Lepisosteus oculatus: one gene and its partners. The protein of the gene in region 2 interacts with the protein of the main gene of each other region in a biochemical or structural test. Links are inferred from orthologs where the notes say so. Each region holds a gene or a part of one and is shown on either strand. Other genes may lie near its edges.

The links.
Region 1: the proteins of fgfr2 (region 2) and fgf7 form a complex in vitro, tested with the Homo sapiens proteins (3 studies listed by BioGRID). The link is inferred for Lepisosteus oculatus from reciprocal best matches to the Homo sapiens genes FGFR2 and FGF7.
Region 3: the proteins of fgfr2 (region 2) and fgf10a are reported together in a solved structure, tested with the Homo sapiens proteins (3 studies listed by BioGRID and IntAct, with this or other methods). The link is inferred for Lepisosteus oculatus from reciprocal best matches to the Homo sapiens genes FGFR2 and FGF10.

What each region holds. Positions count from the first base shown.
Region 1 is NC_090700.1:43,789,990-43,797,858, reverse strand, and holds the start of fgf7 (fibroblast growth factor 7), read left to right. Parts: upstream 1-4,869; 5' UTR 4,870-5,063; intron 5,064-5,663; 5' UTR 5,664-5,954; coding exon 5,955-6,240; intron 6,241-7,869. UniProt on the Homo sapiens protein: Plays an important role in the regulation of embryonic development, cell proliferation and cell differentiation. Required for normal branching morphogenesis. Growth factor active on keratinocytes.
Region 2 is NC_090699.1:29,546,445-29,554,578, reverse strand, and holds the start of fgfr2 (fibroblast growth factor receptor 2), read left to right. Parts: upstream 1-5,110; 5' UTR 5,111-5,823; coding exon 5,824-5,885; intron 5,886-8,134. UniProt on the Homo sapiens protein: Tyrosine-protein kinase that acts as a cell-surface receptor for fibroblast growth factors and plays an essential role in the regulation of cell proliferation, differentiation, migration and apoptosis, and in the regulation of embryonic development.
Region 3 is NC_090698.1:16,463,615-16,471,224, forward strand, and holds the start of fgf10a (fibroblast growth factor 10a), read right to left. Parts: upstream 3,025-7,610; 5' UTR 2,482-3,024; coding exon 2,193-2,481; intron 1-2,192. UniProt on the Homo sapiens protein: Plays an important role in the regulation of embryonic development, cell proliferation and cell differentiation. Required for normal branching morphogenesis. May play a role in wound healing.

The DNA of each region.
Region 1 (7,869 bases), on a different chromosome or scaffold from region 2:
GCTGAAAAAAAAGCCAAGGCATAATTCTGCCTTGCATGAGAGAAACAGGCACAACAGCAGAAAACGCTTCAGTGCTGACAGACGTTTCACACCTCATTCCTGTTGGTGAACTGTAAGAATCCGTCACCTTTTGTTGCATTAACACATACTTCTGCTGGGATCAAGGAAGAGCAGCTTCAAAGAGCAAACTTCATTAGTCAGGAAAAGCCAGTTTCTCAAACAGCCCTGTGCTGTAAGGTAAAGCAACCAGTGGCTGAAAATGAGGTCCCTTCTTTGAAGACTACTGTTTAAAACAGATCTCATCAATTAAACCCTGTTGCCTCAAATAAGTACAATTTAAATTGCCTGGAAATACTACACTAAAATGACCCTAAGAACAAGATCAATTACAGTAGATTCTCAGTTATATGTAAGTCACTTAGTTTTCTGGAAGATTAAAAAATAAACTGCCATTTGTTATTGAAATAAACATCACAGTGTTTTTTTCACAATTACTTTGAAATGGTTTCTTTTTAATATTGTATACAATTATATTCCATACTAGACAGTTACTTTAGAAACAAACATTGTGTGTATATTTGTCATGTTAGCCTTCATGACCATAAACTGTTTTCTTAAAATTTTAGTCTGTGCACTGAACAGCTAAAATACAACAGACAGGTTGATAGGAAACTTACATTTTCATACCCAGCCCTTACCTTTGTGTACTGACAATGTTGATGATGAAAGGGAAGTTCATATAGACACCATCTTCTTTTCAGGAAAAGACCTTCACACCCATCAAATAACTCTAAAAGCTACATTTTCCTTGGTCTTCTAAATTGTGAATATGTATATATATATATCAATATTTTCTTAAAAACATTTCCAGGCCAAAAAGACAATGCATTTGTATTTGGCATGCAATGTGCTTATACAGTACATAGACAAATGTAGAAAGGCATCTGCTCCCTAAGCAGTTCAATTATTATGGAATTCAGAAGCTCAAGCGCCTTCACCAGCATAGTCCAACTCCAGCTAAACCCAATGTCTAATAATAGTTTGACCTTAAACACAGTCCATTATTTAAATGAAAGCATAGCTGTATAAACTTACATCACAACAGAGTGAGTGTTTATTAAACAGTAAAATGTTACCAACTGCAATGTTTCCTTTTACGAAATCTTTTAAGAGAACAGTGATTTAATTGGACTTTATTGTGTTAAAGTACTTGTTTAGCATATGGAGTGAATTTTGTCAGTGTATAAGCACTCATTTGTAAGCCAGATCAAAATAATAGAGTTGATTGATAAAAACCAAGCAAAGAAATTATATATTAGTAAAGCCCATACAATATTGCAGGTAAAGATTTACGTATTTAAGTTTTATTTCCTATCCTATAATAGAACAAATTATGATTAGAACCGATTATAATAGAACTATTATGAACATCTAGAATCTTTCCTAGGACACTTTGTTTATTCATTGTTATTTAACTTACTAAGCAATTTTAGTTTTAATAGCATGGAATACTAGAAACTATCCTCATAGGAATTCTTGATGATGACTTATAACATTTCTAGTACACTTTCTATTTGCCTTTAAACACTTTTACTATTACTTTTCTTGAAGTGGACAGATGTGATTCCTTTCCATGGCACAAGGATTAAAACCTTTTGGTTTTGCATGATGAAACTTTGGATTAGTTTTATAGAATAAATGCTCTAAGTATTTACCTACCAGCAAATTGATCACCTTACTAAGCTTAACCCAGAATATTTATCATCACTATGACAGACAGCAGTTACACGGAGACAGATCTTAATCATAGTAATGCTTTTAGTAGTAATCTGTTTTAAATTCAATAATTTCTGTTTAAAATGAGCTATTTATTCCTTAATCTTTAAATGACAAAAAATGCTCAATACTTTGTCTAAGTACAAGTACATGAAAATGTACTAAGTATTTACATGTCTTAGTACATGTAAATAGAGTTAAAGTTAGAGAACACTCTAGTTGTGCACAGCACCCTAATGTAAAAACTGTTTTGAAACTATATTGGCTCAGTTTAAACTACTCTACTTAGTGCTGGGCATGTTTGCGTGTCCCATTGCAATAATGTTAGTGTTCTCATATTGTAATAACTGTGTCAGATTTAACAATGGTAGTCCATTAAAATAACAGGTATAGCTTTATTGTCTGAAACCTTTTCAAAATGTGCAAATAATTTCCGGAGTTCCCAAGCTCTTGTCAATAATCAATTTGCCATAAAACAAAAAGACTGGGAGAAATTAAAGAGGTGTACTCACGCAGGGTCTGCATGCCTCCAGGCTCAGGGCTTCCTCTGCTACTGTAAACTTTAATCACTTGTAATTTGGTTCTCTTTACCAAGTGCTCTTTGATCTGCTTGCAACATGCAACAATTTGAAACAATAAACTTAAACAACCTGTGTGACAATTGCCATCTGGCACTAAGTAGGCACACTTTTCCTCTAAACGCTAAGCAGCTTAAAATGGAACATCCTCACAAACTATCAAAAGGCATCACAACCAAATGAGAAATTAAACAACAACATGCTACTTTGTTTATGAAAGAACCGACGGAGGTTGAGTTCCTCTCCTTAAATATGCTCCATCACCCTAGTCTTCACAATCCTAAACATCAGTTTAGAATACTGAGATATTCTAGAAGAAATAATTGAAGTTAGTTTTGAAGACAACTAATCTTTATTTGTTCAAGTTATAGGTTGCTTGAAACAACCACATAAATATTTGATACCAATGAAGCAGAAATTGAAGACATGCTTTTTTGCACCACAAGAATAAAGCATAATAAAACCAACATTTATTTACATTTTTGTACCTTAGAAGTTGCAAGGTATTTTTCAGATCAAAATTTAGGATGTTTCCGACAGGACCCCTGACTCTCCAAACCCACACTGTGTCCCTTGTGAGTGTCTGACACAGCTGTGATCACTTACACGGTCCTTTTAACCTTTTAATTAACCTGCCCAGAGGGGTGAGTCACTTCTACCTCCCTATTATTTAAAAAATGTCCAGTTCATGGACAGTGGTGATCAGTACGTATACATAAAACTACAAGCTACCAGCTTAAAAGTATTTTATGTCAGAGTGCCAGCTACTTCATTAGATTATTTAATCATTATTTCATTTAATTGAATCACAGAAATATTCTCTGTAAGATAAACTACAAGCAAATTGTCATTGAGACAGACATTGATAGGTCCTTATTTTGATAGCTTACGTATATTATTGGTGCCAGTTTCGAAATCTCTTAGAAAACGCATATAAAAGTGTCAAAATACAAGGCTCTTCTGCCATTCCTTTAAGACTCTGTACAAATATTTACTTAATGGGAAAATATCACTAAATAAATTACGCCAGTGGAAGAAAGTTCAGAAGAGCTTTTATATACAAGAGCAATTGAAGTCTGTTGCTTTCTTGGCTTGCATCACAAGAAAAGGCTTGAAATGTGGATTGTTTAAAATAACTTTTAGTGCTTTATGTAGGTAACGTTTACACCTTTCAAAATGATGCATTTTTTAATGTTCTGATTCAACACTTACATCCTGTTACATTTGAAAGATAATACCATGACAAATATATTGACTACATTCTTGTTTTGTACTCGGTAGCTATTTCTCAAAAGTTCATTACTATGACTTCATTAGTAAGAAATATGTTATGTAACTGTCATGCTGTAAAAGCCTATTAAAATGATTCATTAATTGATATTCACTTATTTCCTGATAATCCTGCATCGCAAAACTTAAAAAATACAATGTATTTCAAACATGTGGTGTATCTTACCAAAAGCTGTCTTCAAAATTAAAATACGCTTTGAGGTACTGCTTAATCAACACAGACCTAGGTGATACAAACAGAAACAACCAACAGACCTTAAACCAGCCCTCGTGGATCTTGTTAGAAATAATCTAGTTATGATTTATCTGTCTATCTAAACACATCAGGTGTTGATAACTGCTGACTAATTTAAGAAAAGCAGGCTTGTCTGCAATCCAAAAGGTTCTCAAACTGTTGCCAGCATGCTCTTTGTTCTCCTCCCTAAGGGAATAGATCATTAAGTGCAATGTAAACTTCTGAAGTGTTGAGTGCAAGAAAAGTCCGGGTGTTTAAAACTGTAAATCCTGGGTTTAAGTACAAGCACAACATTCAAAGAACAGTTACCTCTGAGAAATTATGACTTGTAGTAGATAAATCCTCTATACTCTTCTCTGCAGCACTGTGGTATGCTTTGTTGTGAAGATTACTGCACCTGATTGCGTTTTCAATCAGCTTTCAAATTGGAGCAATTGCAAGGTGCGTGCAAACAGCTTGTAATCCACACCAAGCACCTCTTTTCCCAAGCTCAACAGATCTCTCCGGTTCTCGAAGTGCACCACGAATCAACAAATCTAGTAAAACTGCAGTCTTCTGAAACATTTGTTTGGAATGTGTGAATATTGGATATATACTGTAAATGATCCCCTTAACACGAGTTATTTCATTTCCGAGATCATGGTTTCAGCGACTTGTATATTTTTACTTTTGCTTTAAATAACTGCCAACAAATTTCTTTTGAAATGCGCGACCTTACTGTAGAGGTACAAGGTAATTAGAAAATACAACTGAATTAAATGTGTGCTTGAAAGGCATCAAGTTTCTGTCTCAGAAGTGAATGAAATACACTTTGATGCACACCATGGGAGTTTAAGCTATTCTTCAAGTTTATAGCTCCCTCTGATGACCACTGGAAGTCTGACAAAAAGAAACTGAGTTTTTTTTTTTCTATCCTGCATCCAAGTGACAGCTGACTGGCTAAGATCTAATTGCTTTCAAGTGAGGTCAGCAAAAGGCATTTATCTAAGTACACTGAATAACAACAGAGAGAAGATGCTCAGAAAAGCCCCTCTTGGGTCAGCACTTGATACATGGGAACAATTCTGAACCTGAAGGAGCCTCTTCTAAGTTAGGAGCAAGTTTGGATTCAGACTGTTTTTGAATTGCAAAATAAGAGAAAAAAGGATACTTGCGGTATTTGCTGCTGTTGCCTGAAAACAAAAGTAAGTATGCAAGTTAAATTATGACACAATTTTGTGATTTTCTCTGCACAGTTTCCAGCTGTCAGATTAAATTTTGTATTTAAATGGTACCAATGGGAAGAAAGTGGTTGCTTTTCAGACATGCTCTAGTATGCTCTACATGTGTAAAGCTGACAAGGAGGTGGTACTGAAAGTCTCCAGTCTCCAGTCTGTCCAGACAACTAAATGAGAGAAATTGTGGGCAGTTCTCCGGAAAGTGTTTGGTTAGCCGCAAAAGTGTCAATGATTATAAAGGCATGACTGCAACTATGAGGTGAGCAAATAAAGGAAAGCCTAAAGCAAATGTTTAATATTGATTTTTGCACTAAAGTTAGGATAAATGCTTACTAATTTACATCAAATGCTGCTTAGACATCAAATGAACAACTCATTAATTTCAGCTTCTACAGAGGTACAGAAACTACAATGCATGTAACAACAATATGCAACATATCATTTTAATTTTTTTCTTATAGAGAATTGTCTCAGATACTGACTGACCTCTGGGTCAGGGGTTGCAGATGTAATACTGATACAAGACTGACCATAATTCTTTGTAAAAACTGCTCTTTTTTTTTACAGCTCTGATATTGAAAAGACTGTCACCACAAACACCAACGATATGTACTGCAGAATGCATTGCTCTGTGTTGTCTGAATCTGCAATTAAAATATACAAAAGAGGACTATAGAAAACTACCTTCTTGGCGTTCAGTAAGGCAAAAGCATTTCTTGACACAATATTCACCAGTAGAAGTCCTGAAGACCTCCTGTGTGCAGACGAGAGGTCAGGTCCAGGACCTAGCAGCAACAATCTGCATTTTAATTTCTATTTCAGTATGTTGTTCGTGAATACCCAGAACACTGCATTATAATGCGCAAATGGATGCTGAAATGGAACCTGCCAACTTTGCCCTCTGGACTGTACTTACTCTTTATCCTTCTAGTGGGCAGTGTGTGTTTAGCTTGCAATGACAGAACTCCAGAGCAACTGGCTGCAATTATGAACTGCTCCAAACATGAACGGCACACAAGAAATTATGACTATATGGAGGGAGGGGATGTACGAGTCAGACAACTTTTCAGCAGAACACAGTGGTTTCTAACAATTGATGAAGCTGGCAGAATTAATGGAACACAAGATGATACCAACTGCTACAGTAAGTATCTTGTTTTCTTCCATGAAATTAACATGTTTTTTTAAATTAAATTCTGCTTTAAATTAACTTTCCTGCACAATCTGTATCCAATAAATATATAGATAAAGCTGTTGAAAAGTAAGATGCTTAAACATATGATAAATGTAAGATATTTAACTACAACAATCCAGGCTTACCAAGTTTTCCAATAATTTTCATCAATATCTCAACATTAGCTGCACAGATCTCATAGAACAAAATTATGACACTTTTAACTACTAAATAACTTAGCAGTTTTTATTTGGAAATTTTAATTACGTTTTTAGGCATATTCAGTCTTAATTTCCAAAAGACTAAACCGAGAACAGAAAAGTGCAGAAGTGCAGAAAAGATTTAAGATCATTCCCTGGGGCCAGTCCTAGGGTTGCTTTCCAGGTCTTCTTTTACTTGAATTTTACAGCACTTTGACTAAAAATATTTTCTGACCTCATCGGAGAGTCATTATTGTTTTTTTTATTATTTTGTGATTATTTTCAATCCAATAATGACCCCTTTCAACGTTCAGTCGCTGCCCATATATTGTTATCATACTATATTCCCAACAACATCATTAGTTAACAGGTAATCCATTGCAGTTAAAAGAGCACAGACATCCAAAATGACAGAAATAAAAGAAACCAGGTGTCACACTTGGCAAAGTGAATTCCCACACTAAACAAAGACTGAAACAAAGTACTGTATACAAATCGGTCTTGAATTAAAAAGTGCTAGATTTCTATGAGCAAATCTGCACTGATTCATCTCACATAATCTATTTTTTATTGATGACACTTGTTTACTAAGGTACATTAGATATCCAACAGTGAAAGATATTAAGGGTGTTTATGTCGCAGTTTTATGGGAACATACCACATGCACTGTGAATAGAAAATAACTACGACAAGACATGACTGTTTTGTATTAAAAGATTCATGGGTGTCCAAAAGCAATTATCCCAACCTCATTGTAAGCATCTATATGACAATGTTCAACAACAGTTTTGGTGTGGTCAGCCAGTTACGAGTATGTCTTACTGTATATTGCATTAATCTAGACAGATGTTGCTGCTGTCTGGACATACTCCTGAACACCTATTAAGTATACAACACCTGTTCTTTCCAAATAACAACATTAATCTTTCCTATGATTTCAAAACTGAAATTGAAAACTGAAGTTAAACCTTATAAACAATTCAAGGTGTTAAATATTTGAACAGTGTACTTTATTTTATTCTTGTTTTTCTAGCATGCGCACTTCCAAGTTGAAATACTGACAACAGCCATAACAGTGAGATTTAGATTGCAGTTTTAATATACTGTATAAATAATAATACAGTTTTTGTTACTTAGTTTTTCTTTAAATCTGTGAAGAATAATACTGGTATTTTGTACTTTTAAAGAAAATACAACTATAAAAAAGATTCATAACCAGTAAACCACCAAATCAAATAGTGATAAAGCAAAACACTAAACTTGAAAATTAGTTATGACAGCTATATTACATTTTGTCTGATCCTTAGTCACGTCACAGTTTTGTTCTTGTGTTCTTTTACCCTGGGTAGGACCCAGTGGTTAACTTTGCTTGAGCTGCCCACAGAGAACTCAGCAGGAA
Region 2 (8,134 bases):
CTTCTTCTTATTATTATTATTATTATCATCTGTACACCAAAGTTCTTGGTGAAACAACAATTGTATTTTATTTATATCACTTTAGTCTCAATATTTAACTTTACTTCCTGCTTAGATCATCAGAAAGGCGCAGACTATGAAGCAGCGGTCAGCAGAAATGGCTAACAGACAGAACTGACCTGGCTTTTACGGCTCCTCATTAGTGCTGTGTCATCGTGTCACAGAAAAGACATAAATTTAATGGTGCCTTTTGCTGGGCTGTGTTTGTGTCTTATGAGTGTGCAGCCATGTCTGTGGGTACAGGTGTACAATAAATGTGTGCATGAATGCAACTGCGATCTCATGTAAGCACATCACTGTAGTGTATCACAGTAACGGCACTGTACGGAAGTGTAGTAGGCCATACCAAACGTAAGGCAAAGAAACAGCTGCACAAACAGTTGGAAACTACGGAAAAAGTAAATGTGAATGCATAGTAGACAGAAAAACATAAAGCTATTGGCACTTCGCAAATTTACCATACTAACATTTCATGAGGCATGCAGAGCCTGAGCGTTAAACCAACCTGATCTAATGAAACTATACAATGAGAAAAGGGAATGCAAATAAGACATAAAATAAAAAAGTAATAACGCATAAAATTAATACTGCAGTTTGGTAACAATGTCACAGTCTCATCCACAAATTCTAAACTTGTGATATTAATTTTCTAACAGTATAGAAACAAATCTGCTGCCACTGATGGGTTGCCTGTGTTGCCAATGGGCCTCAGTAAGGAGCCTGCAGATTCTCAGGAGGTAATACTGAGTGTCCTTTACCGAGAGCTGAACCATGACTAACGGGAGTACTGTGAGAGCAGGATAAGGTGCCAATTGGTCACCGTTGTTAGCACCTAGAAAATGCATTCAGTTTTCAGGCAGTGGCTTCAGCCATTGACACGCGAAGAGAAGGCTCTTTCACGACCTCTTCTGCGGGAGAGATGAAGCTGTTTTCAGGCAGGCTGAGGGGAGAAATGCCGGATTTGCATAAGAAGGTTGATGTCATCCATTTTGCGGGCTCATGTTTTATGCAGCAGAACTTGTTTTTGTCTGTGTCATTAGCAGGCACAGGGGATTCACTGAAAGCCCATTTCAATGAGAAACGTTTTGGATTTTTTGTCCTGTTTTCATAAATCTCATAGCCACTAATGTCCATGTCATTGCAGTTTTAGTACATCTCACCAAGTTCCTTGTATAGTTTATGGAATATTAAGCATATTTTGGTAAGACTTCACGATAATATGTGGCTCGTCATGATTAATTCAGATTGAATAAAGGAAACAATACAACAGTGGGATCATGAACACAGGCTATGTAGTTTTAGCAGTTTTTTTAAATAAAAAAACATCTTCTTTTCTAGAACATATTGTACTTATTCCCCAATGTCTAAATAAAAATGCAGGGATATTTTATTGTACATGGGGCTTTTGGCATATCCTGACACTAATACTTTAATACCAACTAACATTATCCTCAAATGAACTCTAACATAAACCAGTGCAAACTCAGACTCAGTTTTTTCCAGACAGAGTTCTTGTGAGAACATTCTACTTGTTTTAGGAAGATTTATTGAACTGGATCCATGTTTCCTGTTCGCATTTACCAGATCAAATCTTTTTGACATACTGTCAGGTGTGCTTCATCATTAACATCATTTCTTCCTCTCCATACATCTATTAAGCTAAATGGCTACTTTCTGTGCTACAGAATACATAGCTATAAACTGTTAGCTTGAAACATAATGACAACATATTTCACCTGAAGATCAACACAGAACAGTTTTCTTGGATAGAGAAGAAAGATCATTGAGGGCAAAGGTCAAAACAATAAAGGATGTCGAAGAATGTGTGGATGTATGTTTTATTTCTCTTTGCCACACCAATGTCATCTTTTGTTAGATTTGTGCCTTTAAACAATTTTGATGACTTTCAGAGAATGAGAAACAAATTTTAATCTGGAGTAAAGAGCTTTGAAAATGTCCCTGTTGAGTCTCTTTTTTTATTGTCCAGACAGAGTGCTGGATGTTCATGCCTTCCAAACATTAATGTACAGTACTGTACATGTACAGGGAAAGGGGAACCTATATGGTTCACATTAAACTCCTCCATTTGTTTTAAATTTAATGCAGGAAATGAATCACTGCCTTTATAGTGCTGATGGTTTAATTATAACATGAAGAAATACGATGGAAATTTTCACCAGGTAGTGTTTTTGGTTTGTTTCTCCTCTCCTGTCATCTGAAGCAGACCCAGTGCAGATCTGTAGGGGCTACCAATCAGCAATTTGACCCTCATCACCCCACCCCCTGAGAAAAAGGAAAACAGCAGTAGTAACTTACACTCTACTGATAGGAATGCATATAAAACATCTCCTAGACGCTACTGACATACTTCTTGCTATTCAAACGGCCACAAAAAAGAATGAGCTGTCAAATATAAAGTACCCATCCCCATACAGAGATCCTATTGAATCCACCAGTCAAACATTTGCTTAAATAAATGAATAGATTCCTCTGTGTCTAAATGAATGTGCTAAGCAATACGTATCATTTTTTTGTGAAGGAAAGTGGAACACTGCGTAACTGACCAGAATGAAAGCATGCAGAGTACATACTTTCGGTACCGGCATTCACTGAGTTGCTGCAGAGGGTAGGAATTATTCTATAGAGATCATCCACTCACTCTCTACAGTTTTTCTCACTGGGTTTAATGACATTGAGCCTGAGACAGACACCATTCTGGACACTGTTTAGGAGTCTACGCCAGGACACCCCTAGGTAAGAACATGTTGAGGTGTCTGTGATTTTGTTCCCGATCAAAGTATATGGAAAGTGTGACTATGCCATTACCAAACCAAAAAACACTCAATTTTAAAGTTCCTTGTTTTTTTTTTTCATATCCTACTTGGCTTGGGAAAATCTTAATTTGGAAACACAATTCTGACTCTCTTAGAAGTTTGCAACACTGGGATTGCCTTGCGAAGTAAAGACAACCTGGGAATCTGCACATTGGCAGGCCATCTCCTTTACAAGTATAAGCTGATAGAAGCAGAGCAATGGGTAGTAAACTGAATCTCAGAACAGCACAGCAAAGTAAATGCCCCATAATAAACACACTGACAAAACTTCAATAAGGGATGCTCTGAGAGTTGTCTGGAGGAAAAAAAATAGTGTATACTTATTGTAAAATACTTGAACGTCTACTTAAAAACAGGAAAACTACATAAGCAAATTAGAACATACAGTATAAACTTAAAAAGAAGCTTAAATGTACATAATTATCTGTATGTTTTATGAATTGGTGGGTTGGGTTGGAGAATTCTAGACCTTTCACTAATCCGTAGCTAAAGTGCTCCACTCCCTAGGAGAACTGCATGTAATAATGAGGAGAGCCCAGATACTGGATAACTGGGTAACTCCATCATCATAGGTGGCTCAAAGCTGCCTGATCAAATACGTCAATTAGACATCTCTGCAAAAAATAACTAATATGTGTGATGAAAATAGTAATGCAACCAACATCTACATACAAAAGACTGTTTGCTGGAACAGATATCAGATTTTCTCTCCTTGTGCAGGATTTCTTTTCCATCATTTCACATTTCGTTTTTTGCTTTTGTACTCTGTGTGTATAAATTGCTATGGTGTTTTAAATATCGACTTTTAAGACCTAAAAGCAAACAGGGAAACCGCTGAATTGCTTCTGCATTTTCAGGAAGCTGAGTTTTCTTTTGCATTTCAGAAGAATTGGAAAATGGGGAGGCTGGGAATAAGATGCTGTTCCTTCACAAAAGTGAGCCTCCTTGATTTTGAAGCTTTCTGTCTTGCTTGAAAAGGACTGCAAGGTGTTTCTCATCCTGCCGTATTGTCTGCAGGACAGGGGCTGAGGCAGGGCCGTGCTGTGCAATCTGTGTAGAGCCATGGCACATTATGACCTCTTATTTTCCCTGGAGAGCTCTGGTCTTCCAGTGTCGCTCTGCAGTCGAATTAGGAGAGTGCCACTGAAAGAAAGGACATTTCAATGGCTTCTGGACAAACTGGGGACAGCTCCAGACTTAGTAGAGGGGGTAAGAGAAGGAGGGGGTAAATGAAACTCAGCTGGGGGTATGGGAGCCATTGAATGGTAGCCTTGTCCCTCTTTTATTTCCCTGGAAACCTGGAGTTATTGTTCCCCTCCCAGCCCAAACTGTCACCTTTAGTCCTTGATGGCTTTACTGCGCTGTCCTGCAAGGCTCTGTGGAGAGAGGCCTATTGGCCCATTCATACCACACCCCAAGGATTCATTAATAGGCTTATTAGCTACCCCATTCACAGCCAGTGGGGACTGGTTTTTAAGAGGCTCCAGCTACTTTCACAGAAAAAAAAACTGTGAAGAGATTACCCCCCCATCCTTCTCTCCCTTTCAATCCATTGAAAAGAACAAAACTGATGTGAAAGGCAGCTAGGTCCTGCTGAGATAGTTTGGGGCCCTGGATACATTTAGGTATGTTTTTTTTCTACCATTTTTGTGATCCTGAGTACGCTAGTGCTGTGACGGTCTGATAACAGGTGGCCACAAACCCTGGTTGTCACTGTTGTGATGACAGCTCTTTGGGAAAAATAATGTCTGTGAACAGTCCCTGATTGTTTGGCTCTTAAAGGTAATTATTGGACAAGGCAGGGATGCAAGAACACGTAGTCCTGCTGAACTCTAGAAATAATAACCAGCACTAACTGCAAGACTAATAATTTAGAGAACTTGTATTACTGGGCTGCTTGGCTCACTTCCTGCTGTCTATAAAAGCTACCCCATGATATTATCTGGAAATTCTTGGGGGTGAGAAATCATCACATCATGAACTGAAGTTTCAGCACATTTGGTCTTAAAAAAGAAAACTTAGAAATCAAGCGTTAGTCGCGTTAACTCGTGGTCCGGAGACAAGAATAAAACCCTTCAATCGGCACACTATTACTTGGGTCGTTACTTCGAAGAGTTAACTTTATTGCCTGCCTCTCTGTAGCTATTATTCAGTCCGCTTGGAGGCGTTGTTAAGAACGAGAGGCTCCTAATGAAGTTGGGCTCCCGGACCCAGAGAACTTCACAATCGCCGGGCTGTGAGCTTGCAGCGTATTGGGCTCAGCTAACAGAGCCGGAGAGACCGGTGAAGTGATTTGATTGGCGAAGGCGGGCTGAGTAAGAAAGCTGCCCAGGAAACATCTCAGGTTACAGGGGGAGTGACCCTAGACCGAGCCGGAGGAGGGGGCTCGTAGAGTCAGTGATGGTGGTGGGGGGGACGCAAGAAAAAAAACCTTTGTAAACCTGACAAAGCTTTTGAGATTAGAGCAAGGTTTCTTGAAGAAGGCATACAAAACACAAGAATCGTAATTTAATGGATTTGCTCACTTTTTGGAGGTTTCATAGCGTCGCCTTTTACATCAGGATCCGTCTTTTTAGTTCTTTCATCTGAGTTTGCAGAGCTGGAAAAGAATTTATTGTTATTTTTTGCTGTTGATAAGTATTTTTTTAAAGAAAAAAAGTGGTGAAGCAACAGAGAAGAAAGTTTTCCTGGACCTCACTCGGAACTGCAGTTGTCTTCGGGGAAATATATATATATACAGGGTTACTCCGGATTTCTTGAAGGGTCATGCTTGCACTGTTCCACGGCTATCGGATTTTCCAGTTCTTCGGTGCTGTTGTGGAGAGCGCGGTGACGGCGAAGTTGGAGTAGTAAAGCGCAGTCTGGCATTTTTGTAGCGGGGAGCTGTCCCGGTGGGAGTTCACACGCATTCCTCGCTTTGATTCGGCTCATGCACACGCCTGCTGCACAGTGCATGAGGATCGGCTTCTCCAAGGCTCTTAAACGCTCAAGGTAACTATCGCTGGACCCATCGCTTGTTGAAGATGCCCAGAATAGTTGTGCGAGTAAATCTCGTGCCAAAGTAAAGATGCTTTAGCATCCTTCGTGCTGTTTGCACATGTTACCTCCGCGTGCATGACTGTTGTTTTCTTTTATTTTTGGCATGATTTTACACTTAACTCGTAACAACGTTTGAATTAGGTTTCCTGCGTACCTGTTCTGGAAGTATATGACTGAACTTTTCCCAATGGCCCTCGTTCTTTGCCAATATTTTAATAGAAATCTCATTTTTGTGTATTATTATTTTAATACTCATTATTAACATTGATTCGTGTTTATACAGTTCTCATTTCAGTGGGTTTTGTTCGGTTTTATTGAATAAAATTCAGACTTTGCTTTGGAAAGCGATAATGCATGTTTTGTAGCAATTCTCTGATAATACTCAGATATTAATTGCAATACAACTTCACTTGCAGTATTTCATTTGGGTTCTCAGAAGATGATTTGGCTGTGTTGTTATGTCCATATAACACTAATATTGAGGCGTGAAAGTGTTATTTCAAATGAAGAACCCTAGAAGTCACTAAAATATTTCATTCTTTAAAGCAAAACGTAATTTTATTGTAACGATTATAGAAGATACAGTTGCCTGATGTTGATGCCTGAGTTGAGTGATGGCCGTAAATCTCCGCGACTGACAAGCGTTTTCATTGTGAATCTGATTTGAATTTCAATAGAATGCAATCAGCGCTTGAGAACTTCACTTAGCAATCTCAATACAAATGTAGATTCTCCAAGACGCAATTACTGCAGCCTATTCAGTGCGAGCGCAGCGTCTTCCAGCTGGAAGATTATGCGATGTTTGGTTCTAAACGAGAAAAGTATTTATTGCACGCTACAAAAAAGTCAACGAAACAAAAATACGTGAATTATTAAAATAAGTATCATGCTCAGTATCTATCTGATCGAAAACCTGGTCTCGAATTAAGATGCGTAAAAATGTCATACAATTTAAAGTGAATAAAATTAGTAAATGATGTCAAGAAGTCCTGTATGACATCGATTGACTGAAACTGTAGTCTAGTGATCCTTAAAAAGTGAGATAAACTCCACTGTTACCGTGAGGTTATTCCTATCTGAAAACACTCCTGGAAAACACTATCTGAATGGATTTCTTCAGTTTGTATTATTTTTAATATATAGTATCCTCAGTATAACTTTTTGATATGTTGTTTGGTATTTTCGATTTGTCCATAAACGTGAAGAGCTACCGATTTTGACCATCGGGTTTTTAAAATAAAACGTCCTGTTATTTGTATTTCGTATTTTTACTACGATTATTTAAAACGCGTTGTAGCAAATAATGTAGGAAATGCGGTTTCATTGCCGATGTACTCCGAGAGGATTTATATCTGAGTTGTGGGGCTAGATAATGGATCATTAAAGGGATAATAATGACATTTAAATTATAAATGCTAAATCAAGAAAGTTGAAAGTAGAATTAAATTATTCACGGCAGTCCCCTCTCCTAGGAGAAAGCGAAAGATGCGGAACACGATTCAGTTTGTGTTGGAAATAATGTTACTTAATAAAACCACAATTCATATCGTTATTTCCACGCGGACTGATAGTATTTGTGTTGTGATAAATGGGACCTTTGTTGGCTGTCGGAATGGAGAGCAGTGTGCCCCTCTCTGATCCACTGACCGGTCCGTCACAGCGGTTACAGTTTCTGGAGTACTGGGCGCTGCGGTCCCCGCTGGCACCGACTTCATTTTTCCAGCATTGACGGTGGTACAATTTCTGTTTGAAGTGGCTGCATTTGAAACGGGTTGAACTCCAAATTTCTTCAGTTTGTAGGGCTTTGTTATGTAAAATAACCATTAAAGTATAGACCAAAAACATCTGTGAAAATTCTCTTATTCTAAACATTCAATCTCCAGACATATTTTCGTGCTTTCATGTTGCTGTTGTAACAGACTGTTTTAATTGCCAGATACGGAAAAAACCTCGTTAAGTATTTTCTTCGGGAGGTACTGCGTCTACTGTAGTAATTCATAGTATTTTCCAGGATAATAATCCATTAGAAATAGTTTATTAATACATAAAACTCTCTTTCAAATACATTCATTCTCATGTTTTCAAGTGTGTACCGTATTTTTTCTGAAATTAATAGAAAACCAATAGAAAATTGACTATATTAGAAAAAGATTATTTTTACACTTATTTTCTCGTCAGAAATTCAAAATGGATTTTAAAAT
Region 3 (7,610 bases), on a different chromosome or scaffold from region 2:
GTACCAACCTGCACTAAGATCTATGGTTTTACACTCTTGCTCCTACAGATACCATAAACATAAGAGGGATTATCTGTTCTGCACGGAATGCATCTGTTACAAGGCTATTATGTCAGATAAAAACTCATTTGCCTAACATACTGTATGCCCCTGAGCAAGTCAAAGTCTACTGAAGGAGACCTTCCTGCTTACTTGCGTTTTTGCCAATTTAATTTTATCAGATTTAATATACTGGATGAAATGTATTATTTCATATTATTTAGTATGCATCTTAACCCTTTAGTTGCCTCTCACAGAAACAAAATTTATTACCACCAATTTATTCAGTACATAATGCAAATCATTCATCTTTAGTCTATATAGAGAAAGTAGAAAACAAGTAGATAGAAAAATAAGTTGATAATTTTGCACGTTTACAACAAATTACAAACAAGGATATTTTTTCATATGCACACTTTATCATAAAATGTGATGACATCCTTTGATTAATTCAGAATTGGGGCACACAACATTTTATATTTTTCGTGGAGAACTCATTTTGTATTTAAATTATAAACTTCAGAAGAATAGCCATTTCAATCTGAAAGCTCAAATTTAATATAAAGATTACTGTGAATGATATTTACTTTTTATTCTTGCTATATTATGTAACACACTATAAATAAGAAAACACTTCTTTGTTGCACATTCTAAAAAACACACTATTTAGAATGTATCAACCATTGCCTGAGCACTTCTAAAGTTTAAGTGCACTTTTCATTTTATAGACAAGGGTAATTTAAGAGGACTGCAAATCCACTTACGTAAACGAATTAACCTAATCAATTTTGATTACTTTTTGCTTAACATTACAAAACAAAGAAAGAGAAGATACAAGTCCTTCTTCAAGCTTCTTAAATCCATATCCAGTACAGCTAAACAACATTTCAATACTTCCCTATTGAAGTACAATTTCTACCACGTGTAGCTCACAAGATAGTTTTTAATTAACGAGCAGAAATGTGTGCATGAGGTGTAACCAAAGTCTTGATGGAAGAAGAACAGTGGCCAGGTGGGTCTCAAGTTGAGAAATGTTTATTCTACAGAGAATGTTGTACTCTGCTGTAACGCAACAGTACTCTGCTGTAAAAGAGCAGTACTCTGGTATAAGACACCAGTACTCTGGCATAAAAGAGCAGCACTCTGGTATAACAGAATAATACCCTGGTATAAAAGAGCGGTACTCGGATATAATGGAACAGTACTCTGTTATAAAAGAGCTGTATTCTGGTATAATGGAACACTACTCTGGTATAAAAGATCGGTGCATTTATATAAAAGAGCAGCGCTCTGATTTCAAATAGCAGTATTCTGGTATAACAGAGCACTCCTCTGGTTTAGAAGATCAGTACACTAATATTAAAGAGCACCACTCTGGTGTAAAAGAGCTGATCTCTGGTACAAAAGAGCAACACTGATTTCAAAGAGCAGTACCCTGGTACGAGGGAGCAGTACTTTGGTATGATGGGGAGTCTATTTTTTAGCAGCAGAACTAATAGTAAAAACCATTAGAAAACACCATGTGTGCTACGGGCAGCATGAACACTAATATACAGTTACAGTGGGGAAGGGAAAATGAAGACAAATAGTGGTCATGGTGCATTACAGCCTAGCTTCTTCAGACTCTCTGATCATTTCAAACCAGCATGAAGTGCAGAAATAAATAATATCTGAACCACAAGAGACCCTCTTCTCTTCTAAAGAAATTAATGTTTAAAGTTTTTAGAAAAACCACTGAAATGGCACAGCATAATTGTTTTCAGATTCCGTCTTTCATACGTGAACAGCCACTGATTAAAACATGCAAATGTAAAAAAAATATCACAAAGGCACTCTATTGATGAGAGCACAGAAAAACTACAAGGCTTTTTCTACATTTTCAGAGCTTACTGCTGTAATAGAAAATGGAAGAGACAGAACGGCAAATTCACAAGCTCTCCAGCTTCCGTTGTGATAAATTATTTCACTGTCTTTTCTATCGCAAATGAGGGACACCAAACATAAGAGGTAACAGGGTATTATCTACAGTTGTAAATAGTTTCTTGCAGTGTTAAAACATTACATTAATCATTTTTCAGGACATCTGAGTGGAAATATTTAGTCTCATTCTCTCACCTACATCTGGAAGAGATTTGTTAGGATAAGTTACTTACTGTAGGGATCATCCTTGCTCTTCGTCCCATTAACTTTGCCATTTTTATCAATCCTGAGAAAGAACTTCTGGAAGGAAAAGAGCTTCCTCTTGCGAACGTCTCCTTGGAGGTGATTGTAGCTGCGCACATGTCTCCCAACAACCACAGAAGAGTTGGTGACCCCTGCTGAATGCATGTCTTTGCCGATGTCATTGCAGGTGATAGACACAGTGTAGATCAAGACAAGCAGGGAGACACAGGACAGGTGTGAAAAGGCTAAGGCACCCTTTGTCAGTATCCATTTCCACATTGTACTGAAGCTCTTGGGACTGGAAAAAGTCTCACAGAAAGAAACATACTGGAATACTGGGGAGAAGTGGAAGGAGGCAAGTGGAGGTCCCGTCGCTTGTTATCCCCTCTCTAGCTCCTCTTTCTGTCGAACGGAGTGCACCAACATCCATAACTCAAACCACCTCCAGCGTGCAGCCTGAATTCCCCCCCCTTGAAGGCTCCTTCCTTGAAACAGAAAGTTTTCACAATAAATTTTCTCTTGGACCCAAAAAAATAAATAAAAGGAAAGCAAAGAAAAATCCGTAAGTGTAATCCCTCTGAAGTCTGTGGGTTTTATATTGTCGGGAGTTCCCTCTGTGAATGACGCTTCTCCCCCCCCCCACAGCTGAAGCACTTAGGGGTTTCTTGAACACAGCCGATCTCCTCTCCGAAGTGTCTGATTCGTGTCACTCTTTTCACCTTATTTATTCAGCACAGGGACCAGATGTAATCTCTTTAGCTAATTGGCAGTCTATGAAAAACAGTTGGCTTTGAAGATGTGTGTGTGTGTTGAGTGAGCGTGTTTTTTCTCTCTCTCTCCCCCCCACCCACCCCCCCCACACACACACACACCAACCACCACCAACTTGCTTAGCAGTAAACAGGTCAGAGACTGGTGAATAATGTCAGTGATTATTCTGCCGAGGTGGGATGTGCCTACAGAGGTAGTTGGAGGTGGTAGTCAGTCGGTCCCTTGGGTCAGAGCAAAAGAAGACATCTGAAACCAGGCAGCAGAGTTGCAAAATTCCTTAAGGGAGGGGGGTGGGGTTGGAGCGGGTGGTGGGGGGGAGGTAGGAGGGGAGGGGAAGTTCAGAAGATTCCCAACTGCTACCCCTTTTTGAGGCAGACTTTCAGCCCTGGCTAATTGCTCTCAGTTTTTCTTTTTTTTTCCTCCACTAAAGGCTGGCCAACAGAATGGGCTGTGTACTCATGGCTTTGCTAATCTCTCTGTCTCTCGCACCGCATCCAGCTCCCTCTAGGGAGCCTCTTTGTTGGACAGACTTCCCAGTGGCCACTTTTTTGGCATTGAACTGTTTTTAGAGCCACCTTGAGCACATTGCTTTGTGTCCTTACTTAGTGGCTCCTTCCACCCTCTTCGGTTTTTAATCCTCTGTTTTCATCTCTTCTGCCTTTTCGATATGGAGAGAGAGGGTTCCTTTATTTACGCCCTCTGTGCACGGAATGCAGTATCGTACAGCAGGCTAGCCGGACCAGATAAATTACTGTCTGTAAAACAAAAAAAAAATATATATTTTCTTTCTTTTCCTAATTAGCGAGAATTTGAAAGCTAAAGTTAGCCACTACCAACAGCCTCACATCCCATCTCCTAATATACATATATTTACTTTCTGTTTCCACAACAGTATCCAAGCCCCCAGACCCACCAATAACATCCTCTACCACTCCCCTCCCCCCCAGATTTCTAGAAAGAAAACAGACATACACAAACAATTTGCAAATGCTAACGAGCTATTTGCCAAATAATGCTTTAACATGAGAGCGAAAAGGGACCTTTCCGTGTTTTGAAAGATCTCATCATAAAATCTTGGTCTTAGAATCCAGTGTCTGAATTGTTTAATTTCCTTTTCACATTTTATTCTCAACCCATATCTCCACTGCTTCTCTCACAACCTGTTTCTAAACAGCTTTTCATTTTTTTTTTGCAGACAAATAAATATTTTTTGTGTTTTGACTGATTCTCTGCCAGAGCTGTGGGTTATATTTCATGGCATGAAAACAGCTTCTCCTAGTCCTGTAAATCAGACCATTGCTAGTTTTTAAATGACAGTCCACCCAGGTATAGTATGAAGTCAGATTTTTTCTCTAACAAAATCATCATCTACTGACATTTTTGTATTTATTTCATGTTATCCTAAACCCTAGAATGACCTTAATAATGCTAAAAGCAGGTGAAGATTGTCAATATAACCGCATGAAAACAGACTCAAAATATTGCATTTATTTACTGCCAGTTCATCCTCCAGATAAACCAGACTGGAAAGGGAGTAGAATTCATATGGGTGAAAAAATGGGGTTGAAAAGTTTATGATCCTTCTGTTACAGTAACATAATTCCCTCTCTCAAACCCCAGCCAAATTAATATAAAATATATCGTTTTTAAGACACCACACAAAGTGAAACCCAGGGAAAGAATATTCAAAAGTTTACAAATTTTGATGAAACAGAGTAAGAAGCAAACAAGAAAATACATCTACTATATTTTAAATATAAACCATGACGCAAACAATGATTAATGACTATGTATATAACAGATAATGCTAAAAGAACCAAATGGACTACTCACTTGGGAAATTAAAAGTGATTATTCTGTTTCACTTTTTTTGTGCCAGAATGCACCACAACAGTATGTTAACTGTCGGCAAGTGCCTAAAATAGATTCCACTAAATCACTAGATTACCAGTAACTGAGACAAATATTAATCAGAAATTGATCCTTAAGTTATTCTTTCTTCTTAAACTACGGCAAGTATTGTTGCATTAAGTTTCAATCATTCTTCTTTGATCTTCTTCAGAGAGATACATCTGGTGTTGATTCTGTAATATCCAACAACTAACAACCATCAATGTAAACTATGATGGCTGGAATGTTTATGGCTGGAACTATATACTGTATGTAACTAGACTAACTAAGAGTTCTAACAGTTCCTCAGAAGGCAGATGCAACAATGAGCGAGCTTAAAAAAATCAACCAACAGTAGAAATTGATGGAAAAGAAGAAAAGTCAGCATCTGTTTAAGCCATGTCCCTGGTAGCTTAACTGACCCTGAGAGACAGTTATTATGAACCACAGAGAAACTGGAAACAATACTGACTTCATTATGTTGCACAGATGCACTTAAAAGCCACACAAGTTTTCAAATGAAAAATGTAAGAAAATTCAGTTCTATGATTTCTTATTAAACATATTTAGTAGATTACTTTCTGAAGCTGAATGCACGTACAGTATGGATATGATTTGATTTAGGAATTACACATGTGAAAACTGACTTTCACAAACTTAATTTAACTCTAATTACGATAAATAGATCATTTATTGACAAGATATCTAATTTAAAGTTAAGTTTAGTATTCCACGTATGCAACTTATTTAAAATAATAGGAGACAACAAACCCATAGTCACAAACAATAAATTGTTGGGACTTTTTCTTCAGAAGTTTGATGCTGGTTATCTTTATTAATTAAAAAGACTGGTAGTAGTACGATAACATTTCTACTATGTGGTCTAAGAAAAGAATTAAGCATAACCTTTTCTTCTGAGCAAATAATGACCCTTAGCACACTTTGAAGAAGAGTGAAGTCATTATTTTAGATTTGAATCACTTAATGTAACATTAGTTTAAAAAATTAATGAGTTTTACAAGAATTTCTGTTTTATGTGTGTACATTTTCAATAAATGAATCTTGCATTTTCCTAAACCTGTATGCTCCTATACATGAGGTAATTGTTTTTGTTTCTCTTTGGATAATGAAGAGAAGGTTACTACCTCCGGAGAATTGTGTTAGCTTGATAATAAAATATGAAACAGCTTCTAGCCACAGTAACAATGCCAAAACTGTGCCATGCAGTGAAACATATATCTTAGAAGATTGGATTAAGTCAGTGTTAAATGTCTGAAAAGGTCATAAGCTTTTCACTTTTATAAAATACTCTGCCTCAGGAGAAATACTGTACAGGGTTGAAGACTGAAGCACTTAGAAACTTCACTAGGTCCCCCTAGTGTGGTAAATGTTTATAACAGGGTCATGAAATTTATCTTGGAGATAAATGAGACCTCATTCTTCTTTAGATGAATCCTATCTTACGTAACATGTTCTAGGCCCGTCTTCTATTTACAGTTAAAATGCACTTCTTTTTTTCAGCTGTCAGCCTCTCTCCTGCCTATCTGTCTTCTCTCCACCCATGGCTCTCAGGTCTAGCCTGCTCTGTTGGCTTAGTGTCTAATCTTCTGCTTCAGGAAAGGAATGATGTTATCATTAGCTTCCTTTTGTTGTGTTTGCCTGCCCACTGCAGTAAAAGCGATTTGGCAGGAGCAAGAAAGTGCACAAAAAATAGGGTCAATTGATCCACGCTGAAGCAGTTGATTACCTTAGGTTTTTGTTTCTTTGAAAAATCGTTTTGAATAATTTTTAGGGCTTGTGCTTTTTGGTCTGTTCACATGCACTATTGCAGTGCACCCACAAAAAAGACAACCTGCTATTCAATTTTGCAGATTTCACTTAGTATTTGTAAAAGCTTTATTTATTTTTTTCAGTAATCCTAATGAAGTTCAGATGTTGGAAAGAAAACCTTAACTAAAGTAGTTTTCATCACACAAGAAAACAATTTGCTGGACATCTTAATGCCTTAGCTATCTTGTTACTCAGCACTACAACTTGGAAAACCAATATTTTGTTTCGATGGGCCATTGCAATACAGTGTCTGTCATCAAAACCGGGCCAGTCCATACCTCCCCCTTCTTCAGTGCAGGCTGGGACACAATGTTGAGTAACCTCTGCCAATGTTCTGTGTTTCAACCAAATACTGTGCCTCTTAGTGCCTCTCTGCACTTTTGCTCAGAGTGAATGGTCATTCAAGCTCTCCGAGTTAATGCATCTTTCTCACCTATATAAATTCAAGACACACCAACAGAGCACAAAACAAACCGCATACAACTGTTGAAAATAGAGAAGAGTTTCTATGAAAACTATATCAGAAAAACTATGATTACAGTATGTAAGATATGGAGACAATGTTTCACCGTTAGGAACTGTAGGTGACAAAAAGTATTGTTTTACTCATGAGGCCACAAGATAAGGCCAAGTAGGGGTAGCAGGACAGTAAATTATGTTACAAGGTTTTAAATGTCAATGTTTTGGGCTAAATGATTGGACAAGAAAAATGCAAGGTACATAATATTTGATAATTAAAAGAAAGATATTTTAAGGTACAGTACAAATCAGTATATCAGTATATCTTGGTAACTTTAATGATCCATAGCGTCAGGATATGACTTCAGAAAACTGGGTAACACTTGCTAGAACTGGCCAATTGTTCTTGTTCAGAAGAGTCTGCAACAATTCACAGACCTAGAAATCAGTCACTATGA